3 linked regions of the Styela clava genome follow. The protein of the gene in region 3 purifies or fractionates together with the protein of the main gene of each other region. This does not show direct contact. Links are inferred from orthologs where the notes say so. Each region holds a gene or a part of one and is shown on either strand. Other genes may lie near its edges.

Evidence for each region.
Region 1: the proteins of exocyst complex component 5-like (region 3) and exocyst complex component 8-like purify together in Homo sapiens (affinity purification with mass spectrometry; 5 studies listed by BioGRID and IntAct, counting the BioPlex papers as one, with this or other methods). This does not show direct contact. The link is inferred for Styela clava from reciprocal best matches to the Homo sapiens genes EXOC5 and EXOC8.
Region 2: the proteins of exocyst complex component 5-like (region 3) and exocyst complex component 3-like purify together in Homo sapiens (affinity purification with mass spectrometry; 7 studies listed by BioGRID and IntAct, counting the BioPlex papers as one, with this or other methods). This does not show direct contact. The link is inferred for Styela clava from reciprocal best matches to the Homo sapiens genes EXOC5 and EXOC3.

The regions. Positions count from the first base shown.
Region 1 is NC_135260.1:14,960,979-14,964,736, forward strand, and holds the start of exocyst complex component 8-like, read right to left. Parts: upstream 2,343-3,758; 5' UTR 2,295-2,342; coding exon 195-2,294; 3' UTR 1-194. UniProt on the Homo sapiens protein: Component of the exocyst complex involved in the docking of exocytic vesicles with fusion sites on the plasma membrane.
Region 2 is NC_135263.1:15,177,478-15,181,235, reverse strand, and holds the start of exocyst complex component 3-like, read left to right. Parts: upstream 1-1,062; 5' UTR 1,063-1,225; coding exon 1,226-1,363; intron 1,364-1,699; coding exon 1,700-1,869; intron 1,870-3,084; coding exon 3,085-3,214; intron 3,215-3,645; coding exon 3,646-3,758. UniProt on the Homo sapiens protein: Component of the exocyst complex involved in the docking of exocytic vesicles with fusion sites on the plasma membrane.
Region 3 is NC_135260.1:8,675,192-8,678,949, forward strand, and holds the start of exocyst complex component 5-like, read right to left. Parts: upstream 2,304-3,758; coding exon 168-2,303; 3' UTR 1-167. Other genes in the region: aspartate aminotransferase, cytoplasmic-like, read right to left, coding at 2,886-3,758. UniProt on the Homo sapiens protein: Component of the exocyst complex involved in the docking of exocytic vesicles with fusion sites on the plasma membrane.

The sequences.
Region 1 (3,758 bases), about 6.3 Mb from region 3:
TTGTCTATTCATCAGCACCTGGGGGAATAATTACTGACAGAACAATTCAACCCAACATAGTTGTACAGTTTCCATCATATTATAATGCGAATCAGGCATAATAGAAATAATTTGAGCATGATACAAAGTAAAAAAATATACAACCTAGCTTTCATAGTATTTGGAACAATTTTCAAGCAAAAAAAAGTTCTCCACTAACTAGAAGTTTGTTTAATAAAATCTCTTCTCAGATCAGTGAGTTGTTTAGGAATTTGTAAAACACATTTTTGAATTTTGTTTTCTATCAGTGGCAACAATGACTCGGCAACAAACATGGCATTACGTTTGATGAGCCGTGCTTTCTCAGGTCTTTCCTGTTCACAGCGGAGACAACCAGCAACAAAATCAGTGTAGCATCGTTCGATTTCTTCAACAGAATCAAGAAGAAGTTTTTGAATTTCCGGTAGGTACATTTTTATCACACTGTCCACATGAATAACAATGGCTCTTGTAAAAGCTAATGTTGAAAGTGTGAGATAGCAGAAGCAATCATCAAAGCAATATTGACCAATGTTTAAAATTCCATATCCAGTCATTTCTTCTTGTATTTTCAAAAGAGCCTGTGGTGTCTTAGCATTAGTTGGTTTCCACAATTCTTCAGAGCTACGTAGCTTAATAGCATCAATCAATTTTTGCTTATGATCTATGATTGTTGATTCAATGTCTTGTACAAGTAGTGAAGTAACAGCAAAATCCAAATCTAATCCAATGATATGAACAGCCTTGCTTTGAGAAAACACAGTTTTTGTGCAGTCTCCTATTTCAGCAATATCAGCTTTTCTAGTGAAAACTTGTTGCGAAATTTTTCCAACAAATACTTTAATCTCCGTTTGTGACCAAACGACAAAAGTAGAGTAACAACCCGGATGATCTTTAAAAGCAGTTTCAAATTCTTTGAGTGTTTCTTTTAGATTGTTAAAAAAAACTTTACACATTTTAGCAATGTATAATTGAAGATATCCCTCCGTTCTTAATTGTTTAAGAGCATATGAAACTGCACTAGAGCGATTGTGTAGGAATAACTGACAGGCTTTGGTACTTTCCCCAAGCTTAATGAGAAGCAAAACAGGATTCCGTGCTGCTCTGGGACCACCACGATGACTTCGATCAGGAGCAGTTTGTAGTTCTTTGGTCAACACACTCACAAGTTGAGACGTTCTTGCTGATAACTTAGCATCGACTTCTTTCTTTGTTGCACTTTCACCAATGCCATCTAAAAAGGCTTTTGTCTTTAACACTAATTCTACAGCTTCTTTGAAATATCGCTGGGCAATGTAAACATCTAAATCTTCAGGCATTTCTTGAATCCAAACCTCATTTAATTTATCATTATCCAGTGATGCATTTCCTTCCATCTTTTTTGACCCTGATGATTTACCAGGCGATTCAGAAAAAGGATTAAACGGATCTAAATTTGGTGACATAGGAGTTGTAGGTGACACAGGGGAATTATGTTCTCTGTCTGCCAAAAACTTTTTCTTTGTTTCTTCTAAAATGTCAAGCCATTCTCTTTTTTCCTTTGAACTTTCACATTGAAACATATTGGAATCAGGAAAAATCAAAATCTTGAAAGCACATTTGACTGGTCCAGCATCTCGAGCATTGATAACGGCCAGATTTTCCAAATCAAAAAGACATTCAAATTTATATTTACCAGGGACTGGTTGTCCTCTTCTTAAACCAGCCCAGGTTGTCACCATCAACGCATCATTAAAAAGAAATAGATGAACTTTACGAATGGGAGAAAAATTATCCATATCAAGCTCTGAAAGATCACCATCATGAATAAGAAATCTAGTAGAAACATCAGTGATATCTGGACACCCTTGAACTTTCTCTACTAAAGATCTCATAACTTTACGTTGCTCATCTTTTTTGATATTTTCTTTGCTTTTTTTTTCATTTGCACCATACTGTGGCTGTTCTTTTATAAGAAAAATATTTGCCATCGAATCCATAAGATTCTTTTGCTCTGTTAATATATGATTGAGCTGAAACATTTCACCCTCAACGTAAGAAATTTCTTTTGCAGTTTCAATGAATTGCTCATAGTATTTATAGACTTGTTTCTTCAAAATATGAGCAGTTTCTTCACCCAATGTCTGTACTCTCTGTTTGTGCTCCTGTAGATCTTTATCTCCATCTGATTGGGCACTGATGCTCTTTGCATATTGCTTTGGATCAAAGTTTCTGTGTCCAATCGTCTTTGCTAAAGCAGTAGACTTTTTAGGCACAGGTTGAGAAGCACTTTCCATTCTAATATGACAATTATTTATAACAGTGCTAAAACATTGTCAAATAAAGATTACTTGTTTGAAATTTGAACTTTAGAAGGAGCAAAAGAGAAATGTAAGTTAAACTAATAAATTCATGTGTTTGAGTTCTAAACTTCTAGATTGTGCTTAGGAATTGTTTTTCATAACCAGGATTGCGTATAGCACCTCCCCCTTAAAAAATCAAGCCGATATTACAAAAAATGTTGACATTTTGCTGCTGATACTATATTATAAAGTATTTCGCTCTTGTCTGCTTGTAAACTATAGAGCATGGTTATTAAGCACAAATCAATGTCCTATAAAGAAACATTTAAAATAAATTTATGTTCTCAATTTTATATCAAAACGGATACGTAATCATCCAAAATTATGTCACTACGACATCACAGTGACGAAATAAGGCATGCCAAAATATAAGAACTGTCGTCTAAAAGGAAATCATGCCCTCAAAATCGAGAAATGATACAAAGATGAGGAAACACAGAAACAAGAGCGAGTACCGGTATGAGTATGACGATGTATACATACTTTGTAGGGGTCTCGTGTAGTTTCGTACCTAACGTACTTCTAGTGGGCGTAGCATAACAATTTTTTGATATGTCAATCCTAACCCCCATCTGACTACGCCATCGAAAAATTGAATCGACGATGAAGAACTGACTGATGTTATCGATCTCGCTCCTATTGGAATCGTTGCGACGAGAAAACGAGAGAAGTAACTGTTCGATTTCGTGTGCTCGTTTGCGCGTCTTGGATGGCAGTTCGTATAGTTTGAAGGGCTCTATTACGTCACTGTGACGTCGTAATGACGTACTTTTTGGATGGTGTAGTCAGGTGGGGGTTAGGATTGAAACGAGGAAAAATTGTCATGCTACGCCCACTAGAAGTATGTTAGGTACGAAACTACATGAGACCCACTTTCTGACTTTGTAGCTTGCTCAACTTGCAGACTTGGGTGATCGTTTGCCTGTTTTGAGCCTTTGTCCTGTATATTTTGTATTTTCGTGGACCCTGAACCCTCTCTCCTACTGTCCTGTTAGAACAATTACCAGTACTGAATTATGACTCAATAATTGAGTACGGTAGGGAATTTATAATACGGTACCGGTAATGCTATTTGTGAATACTGAAATGAGCTACTCATTTAACAATCGTTAAGATAGAATAAATTTTCCATATCTATTCCAGATGACTTCAAAACGTCAAATACTGAAATATAATTTATGAATAAGATTTACCGTACCAATATACTGATATACCGATTCAATGCACTCGAAAATCTTTTGAAATACGCAAAGGAAATCACTACCGTATCTGACTATGCAAAACGTAAAAATTTAGTCTGGGAAGTTAAACGTTTTGGGGTGAAAGGTCGGCCGATTTTATTCCGTCATGAGCTCACTAGGTGGCGATTATAGTCACCATAGTAACTGTATCAGCTGA
Region 2 (3,758 bases), on a different chromosome or scaffold from region 3:
ATGAGATTTATATTCAAGTTTCCGAAACACAACAGAAAACTAACGATTAAAGTTCAAAAACGCGAAAACGAGGTAATGTTCACGGCCACGCTTGAAAATTTGTCTGAGTGAGAAAAGTGTCTGAGTGGAAGCGAAAAAGGAGCATTGTTACGTCACATTTGCATCTTGCTGATTAACCAATGTCTCAAAATTAATAAGGAAGTCGATGCTCGGGGAAAGGTTCGTACTTCACCATTCTGGCATTGCAAAATTTTTGAGACTGTAGTGATTCAGATTCAGATAGGCCTATTTATTTTTCGTCATGCACTGATCAATATAAAGCAAAAGAAAAACATAGTAAACTAAAAAAGGGGGTAACATTAATTCACAGCAGTTAACATGGTACCCTGTATCACGAAAGACTCACAGACTCAGTGAGTCATACAGTCAGCGACACTCAATGCTGTATTACTGGTATAGCAGCAAATTGAAGCAATCTGATAAAAAAGTTATCTCTATTTATATTATTTAGTTATCTCTAAATTACACAATCATGGGAAAACATCACAACAACAAATCGAATTACAAAATTAAGTCAGATAACAGCAAAATTTGGTTGGAACGAAATTCTGTAACGTTTAAAAATCATAACCCAAGTATAAATGTTATTATGAAAATTAGGAAATCAGTTGTAACAAGAAGAAATATAGAAAAAGTGAGAAAGGAATTTAGTTGTAGGCTATAAAAGAACTTGCCATGATAAAGTGATATGTAATAACTTGTGACTGATTATGGATAATTATTTTTTCATGCTAAATAATTGTATTCTTACGTAATTTGTATTACTACAGTACTAAATCGATTACGGAATTATCCTGATGTTACTAATGTCTGAATGTATATGTTTGTTCACTTTTTGTACACAATACTCAGTGTGTCTTTATTAATAATTATTTTATTTACTTATTGAACAATCCAACCATTAAAAAAGTTGCTTAAACCCTTTGTGAAAGCATGAAATCAGGAAGTGGACATAGACAAACATGATCAGAATTACCAAAGCTTGTTGCTTTGGTTTTCAAGAAAACCTGTTCATATTTTTAGATGATAAATATACGCTAATATCTTTTTTCTATGAAAGTATCTGTAGTATTGACATATATTTATTGATTGTGAGCCACAAACTGCTTCTTAGGCAGTTAGGCAACACACACTCTGACACCACTGCACCAGGACACTGTAAAAAATGGAGATTAGTGACACTGCCGAGGCGGCTGAATCTGAAGCACAAGCTAAGGCAATCCAGCAAGTTGCCAGCATGCTTCTTCGACCTGACCAGTTGGATAAAGTTGATCAATACAGACGAAGAACTGCAAGAAAAAAGGTTGAAAAATAAAACTTTCCTCTTACTAATTTATATATATATATGCATTTTGGTCTTCTTTTGATCAGTGTCTCACATTTTAAAATTGATTTAAAAGGTATTGCCCGATTTTACATAGTGTCTTTATGTTATTGTGTTCTTTTGACTGTTTTTGGACTGTGGACGAGCACATACTTGTACGTTTTTAACTTTTTTATTAAGTTATGTCTGTGTCCGTTCTCCAGGTCCTCTGCATTTTGTTTGTTCGTTTGTTGTTGTTTTGTTTCTTTCAGAGTGACCAAAATAAAATTGTTGAAATTGAATAAAAACTGAAATTGTAGTAATCTCAATTTTTAGGCATCGTTTGAGGCAAGATTAAAAGCAGCTGTCCAATCCCAATTAGATGGAGTGAAAGCAGGACTTTCACAATTAACAGAAGCATTAGAGGAAGTTAAAAATGTGAAAAAGAAAATGACTGAAGTTGATGAAATGTATTTGTCTTGTGGAACATTAAGCGATAAAATGAGGTTTGTTTGATTTCAATTGTTTATATGAGTTTACCTCGGCGGTGTGGCGCATCACGCTAAACGCTAGGAATACGCTCGCAACCACATCTCTGATTACCCTGCATGGGTTCGAATCCCATGCGAGGTTAATAATGTGCGAGAGGATTGCTGGACTTCTCGCCGTCGTAGGGTGGTTCATGTAACTACTGGTCGGTTACGGCTTTCTCCACAATCAAGTCCATGCATCTGAAAACAAATAACTGGCAAACTAATCCCATACCGGACATGGACTGCTAACCGGACGAGAGGTCGTGGTTCTCCATATGATTAATCCGTTATATCGGATTTCTTCTCCCCTAGGATAATTATGTAAATCCTATCCACTATGAATTGAGCAGATGCTGTGTGTTTGCAATACCAATTAGTTGTATTTTACTGTTCATTTTCATTCTATTTTCCCACATTTTCACAAATATATTCATGTATTTTTTGAGTAGCTATTATCACTGTTATTTGTAAATGTAGCTGAGGAGCTAGGTCACTGGTAGACTTTCAACTTTACATTAGAATGCCAGGAAGGGCGACTACCATGACCACCTTGAACCCTACATACTTTCGCTGACTTTTTTCATTCTAATTTATCTGTATATATCAGTTCTATAAGTACTTTGTTATTACCACGCTACCTATCTTGATACTGAAAATTCTATTTTGTATGGTGTGCTCTTCACTTAATTTTTATATGCGAACTTCCTATAATTATTTTATTTGTTGCGATGGCCTTGGGGTTCAAAGGTTAGACTTATAATTGTGTTTGTATCACCGGTTACACATTTCTGGTTTTATTAAACTCACGTCCACAAACTGGTCAATATAATGAATTGGGATTCTGGTTCCTTCGCAAAATAATAGCTTCTCACTCAGTGGCGATAACCCGACACCCTAAAAATGACCCTAAAACGGTGATTTTATAAAAATTCGCATATAAGCCCACCCTACAAATCGTACGCTCTCATCGTGAGAATTAAGTTAACATAATGTCATTTCGTTTGAGTGCAGTCAGAACTATGTGTGTATAAGCCGAATTTTTAGTGCGATCGGAGTTATGTGTGTATAAGCTGACCCCTTTGTTTGGTAACTTTTTTATTTGAGTTTTGAACTCATCTATATGCGAGGATATACGATAATTGCAATTTTCATTCAGTTCCTGGCTGTAATTGATTTTTCTAACTTCAGAGATATTAAAGATGTCAGTGCACAACATCGTCAACTTGCTGCTGCAATGGAAAATTTAAAACATATCTTTGCTGTTCCTGAAGAAGTTGAAAAAGCCAGAGTGATGATCAAAAATGGAGATTTATTGGAAGTATGTTTGTTTATGCATTGAAAGCATAGTTGTTAGAAATTAATACGAATCGACCATTCCCAGTGTACTATTAGCTATATTTCTTTTAAAGTAGCCTATACTACTCATAATTTGTTCCTAACAGCCAAACCTAAAAACGAACATAAGGTGGAAATCACAACTAAATACAGGTACGGCCTTGAAATAAGCTCAAAAGATTGCCCCTAATTGATAATGACAGCTGGTCAAAAAAGTTAACTCTGTGAAAAGCTGCCTTTGTTTTACTGTTGTTGTCAGTGTTCTTCGATAAATCCCTATATAGCCTAGCCTCATAGCGGAAGAAAAATTGAATTTTATATTTGCTTAATCGGAAGTCAAAATATTTTGTATTTTTTTACTTGTTTCGTTTCATGCTGCTGTTCCATTTGTATAAATTTGATTTATTTTTCCAGGCCCATAAATCTCTCACTGATCTGGAAACATCTCGTGATGATTTGTTATATGAACAACACAAGCTGGAAAACAGGAGTACGGCAGATATGAAACAACTTCAGAGATTTTTTGC
Region 3 (3,758 bases):
TGAATATGATAAAATTTCAACATAAATTCTAATCATTGATAATAGAAACTCGGAGTTTTATTATTTAGCTCAGTACTGGATAATATAAGATTTGTAATATTAAATTTGAACAATAGAATGATACAGTCTATATTATTTATACATGAGAACAAAAGAAAGAGATTCATTTAGTTAGCAAAGAGCTTGTCTAGTTTTGCAGAGCGGTAATCTGAACGAAGCTGAATAAATGAATGTAAAACAGTGCGATCGAGATTTGACAATTGTTCACCAGTGCAAACTTGTCTTAAATTTTCTGGGGCAACTACTAATAGATTACATAGGGAATGTAAACTTTCGAACAAATTCGTGACGAAGGGTACACAAAGCTTTTCTGCACATTTCCTGTATTCATTAATATCACAAATTGCCATCATTCCCCCCATAAAACTGAATCTGAAAAGCTGGAAATGTTCAAAAAGTAGGCGATGAAATCTTTTTCCATATTCTGCAAGAACTGCTTCAACATTGTTTCCATCAAGAGATTTTCTGATATAATCCATGATTCTGTTGAAATACGCACATACTGTGTTACATGCCTGCGTACATTGACGCTCAGGTGGTTTATCAGTCGAATAATCATTCTTTTTCTGTTCAGTTTTAAATATGGTCTTCATCCATCCTATGGCAGCTTGAAGACAGCGATCAATACCAGAATCAAGTTTAACTTCCATTTGCTCACGGATTTGTTTCTTTCTCTGAATGCATTCACCGTATCTTGAAGAAGAACTGATTAAAGGCAGAAGAGTGTCGCTGAACTGTTTTTCAAAAAGATGAAAAATGATGTTTGTTTGTTGAGAGACATCAAAAAAATACAAATTAGGTTCAGCTTTGCATTCAGCTGTAGGTATGCCCTGTAAACACAATTCAATAGCATATCCGATGTGTTGATCACATAAATATTCTACCAATAGATTGAAGATCTGAACAGAATTATTGCTCAAAACAGATGAGCTTGACAAAACTCTGCATCTTGCAAAAGCCATTTTTGTTTCTTGAAGCAGATTGATGGCCAATTCCTGTGAAAGATAAGTTTCTCCACTGGTATTTTCAGGAACATTGCTACTCATTCCAAATGTAATATGTCCTCTGCTTTTGTCCGCAATGACGGCTTTTAATGAAGATACAGCCGCGACAGGTTTTTTTACATGATCTTTTGAATCATAGAAACGTTGGGATATCATCATTGCTTTATCCTTTAGGAATTTTATTTCAACATCGATGTAAGAGTCGAGATAACTTTTGAAAATGCCGTTCGTCAATTTTGTGATGAAATTAGAATCTGAACCCAATTTAAATTGAGAAAGCTTTTGAGATAATTCTACAGTTTTTGAATATAGTGTATAGAGATTTTGTAAATACTTTTCAGGGTCTGTGGTTCTACTTTCACTGAGCTTTTTTTCAACTTGATCCTTGAGTTTGCTTTGGTATATTTTTGACAACAGTTTGCCCATAACTTGTTCTGGTGATGAAAACACTTCAGCAATGATCTTGCTGACTTTTGTACACAAGTCTAATATTTCGTTAAATATGTCGTTTTTGTTGTAGAATGCATTCTTTATATTTTCATCTATAAATGCATCAATACAGTGTTGATAACCTGTAAACAAAGAAAGCGTAGATGCAAGTTCTTGCATTTTTTTCACTTCTCCATTCCTGTGAGCTTCCTTGAACTCATCAATTAATTCTTCTTCAATTTGATGGTACTTGGAAACAATTCTGCCTTTCACTTCAGAGAACCTATCGTATGGTAATTCTTGCGCAATAAGATGTAGCTTATGTACAATTTCAGCAGCCTCTCGCACTCTATACTGGTTTGTCAGGACTTCAGATGTGAGTTTCCCGGTCAAAAACTCGTCAAAATATTGCATGAGTTGGTGAGCTTCTGCAGCATGTGCTCTAGGTGTATTTACACCTTCTAACTGATCCCCGAGATGAACTACTTTGGTAGCAACGTAATTAATTCGATCATCCAATGCCTGGAACTGACCAAAAGCCTCTTGATTTTTCTTTTGCAACTCCATGAGTCTATCTTTATGTAAACGCGATTCTTTTTCAAGAGCAACGTCCAACTTCTCAGCTTTTTGCTGAATTCTAGCATCAAGTATTTTCAGTTCATTAATGTGAGCCACGAATTCATCATACAAGAGTCGAGGGTTAAATCCTTGAGCTCCGCCTTTTGTACCCCCACCGGGTGTTCTCCATGCCAGTCTTTCAACATATTCAGTTGGGTCAAAAGGATCTTCAAACAGTTCAGCGGACGCCATCCATGCACAGTAAATATACAACTTGGTTTCTATCCTAATGAATATCTAGTTATATATCTAAACATAACACAAGATCCATTATGCAATAGAATATAAAAACACAAAAATATGTGTCTTCAAAGCTTATTATACACCACTTTAATGAATTTATGCATGAAAATTGAATTACGAAGAAAATAGTATTTGAGAGAATATATAGAAATTAGCAGAGAATAAACCTTGCCCAAATGGGTCATGAAACAAAGAAAATCAAAACTAATTTCATAACCAGGAACTCATTTATTTATACACTTGCACCGAATTAAGTAATGCATTATAAAAATAACATAATTTCCGTCACATACAATATTATTATCAAAAACATGTGGAAACATCAGACTGTAAAAACAATGAAGTATCAAGTGTTATTTCAGTCACTATTGAACTTTATTAGATGTGAAACTTTCACGATTTAAAATAATTTTTACATAATCACAGTAATTATAGTAAATATAAAATAATCTAACTCGAAAAACATTATTGTCATACTACTGAAAAAAAAAAATTCGTGGCAATTACTATTCATGCATAATCATGTTCTATTTACAGTTTATTTTCATTGATCTTTGTGACAGCTTCATGCAGGGACTGAGCGAAGTAGTCAATGTTACCTTCAGTCAGACCACACATGCTGATACGCCCAGATTTCATCAGATAGATGTGCTTCTGTTTTACCATGAATTCACATTGAGCTTGGTTGAGACCTGTATAGCTAAACATTCCAATTTGATTAACAATATGATCCCAATTTCCTGGAGTGCCAAGTATTTTTAGCTTTTCATGCAGAGATTTCCTCATTTGCTTAATTCGAGCTGACATGGTGCGAATGTTATCATGCCATTCGCCCAATGAAGATGGATTACATAGTGCTGTTGCAACCACCCTTGCACCATGGTTTGGTGGGTTTGAATACATTCCTCTGATAATCAACTCCAATTGAGATCTGCTACGTGTCAGCGAATCTGGATCCTTCATCACCATTGCGAGATTTCCGACTCTTTCATTGTAAAGACCAAAATTTTTCGAAAATGACTGACAAACAAAGAACTCGAATCCACATTTTTCAAAGTGACGAATACTCCATGCGTCAACATCTGGATCACCAGTGGCAAATCCTTGATAAGCAGAATCGAATACAGGAAAGTGATTTTTTTGTTTACAAACATCTGCTATCTCCTTCCATTGCTCTTGAGTAGGGTCTACACCAGTGGGATTGTGAGCACAGGCATGAAGGATGACGATAGAAACCTCGGGAAGCTGTAGCAAGTCCTCTTTCAAACCAGCTAAATCGAGGCACCTGTTCTTTGCATCCCAGTATCTGTATTTACGGCGATCCGTAAACCCAGCGTATCTAAAAATAGCATCATGATTTGCCCATGTCGGGTCAGGATAACTTACAACGGTGCTTTCCACATG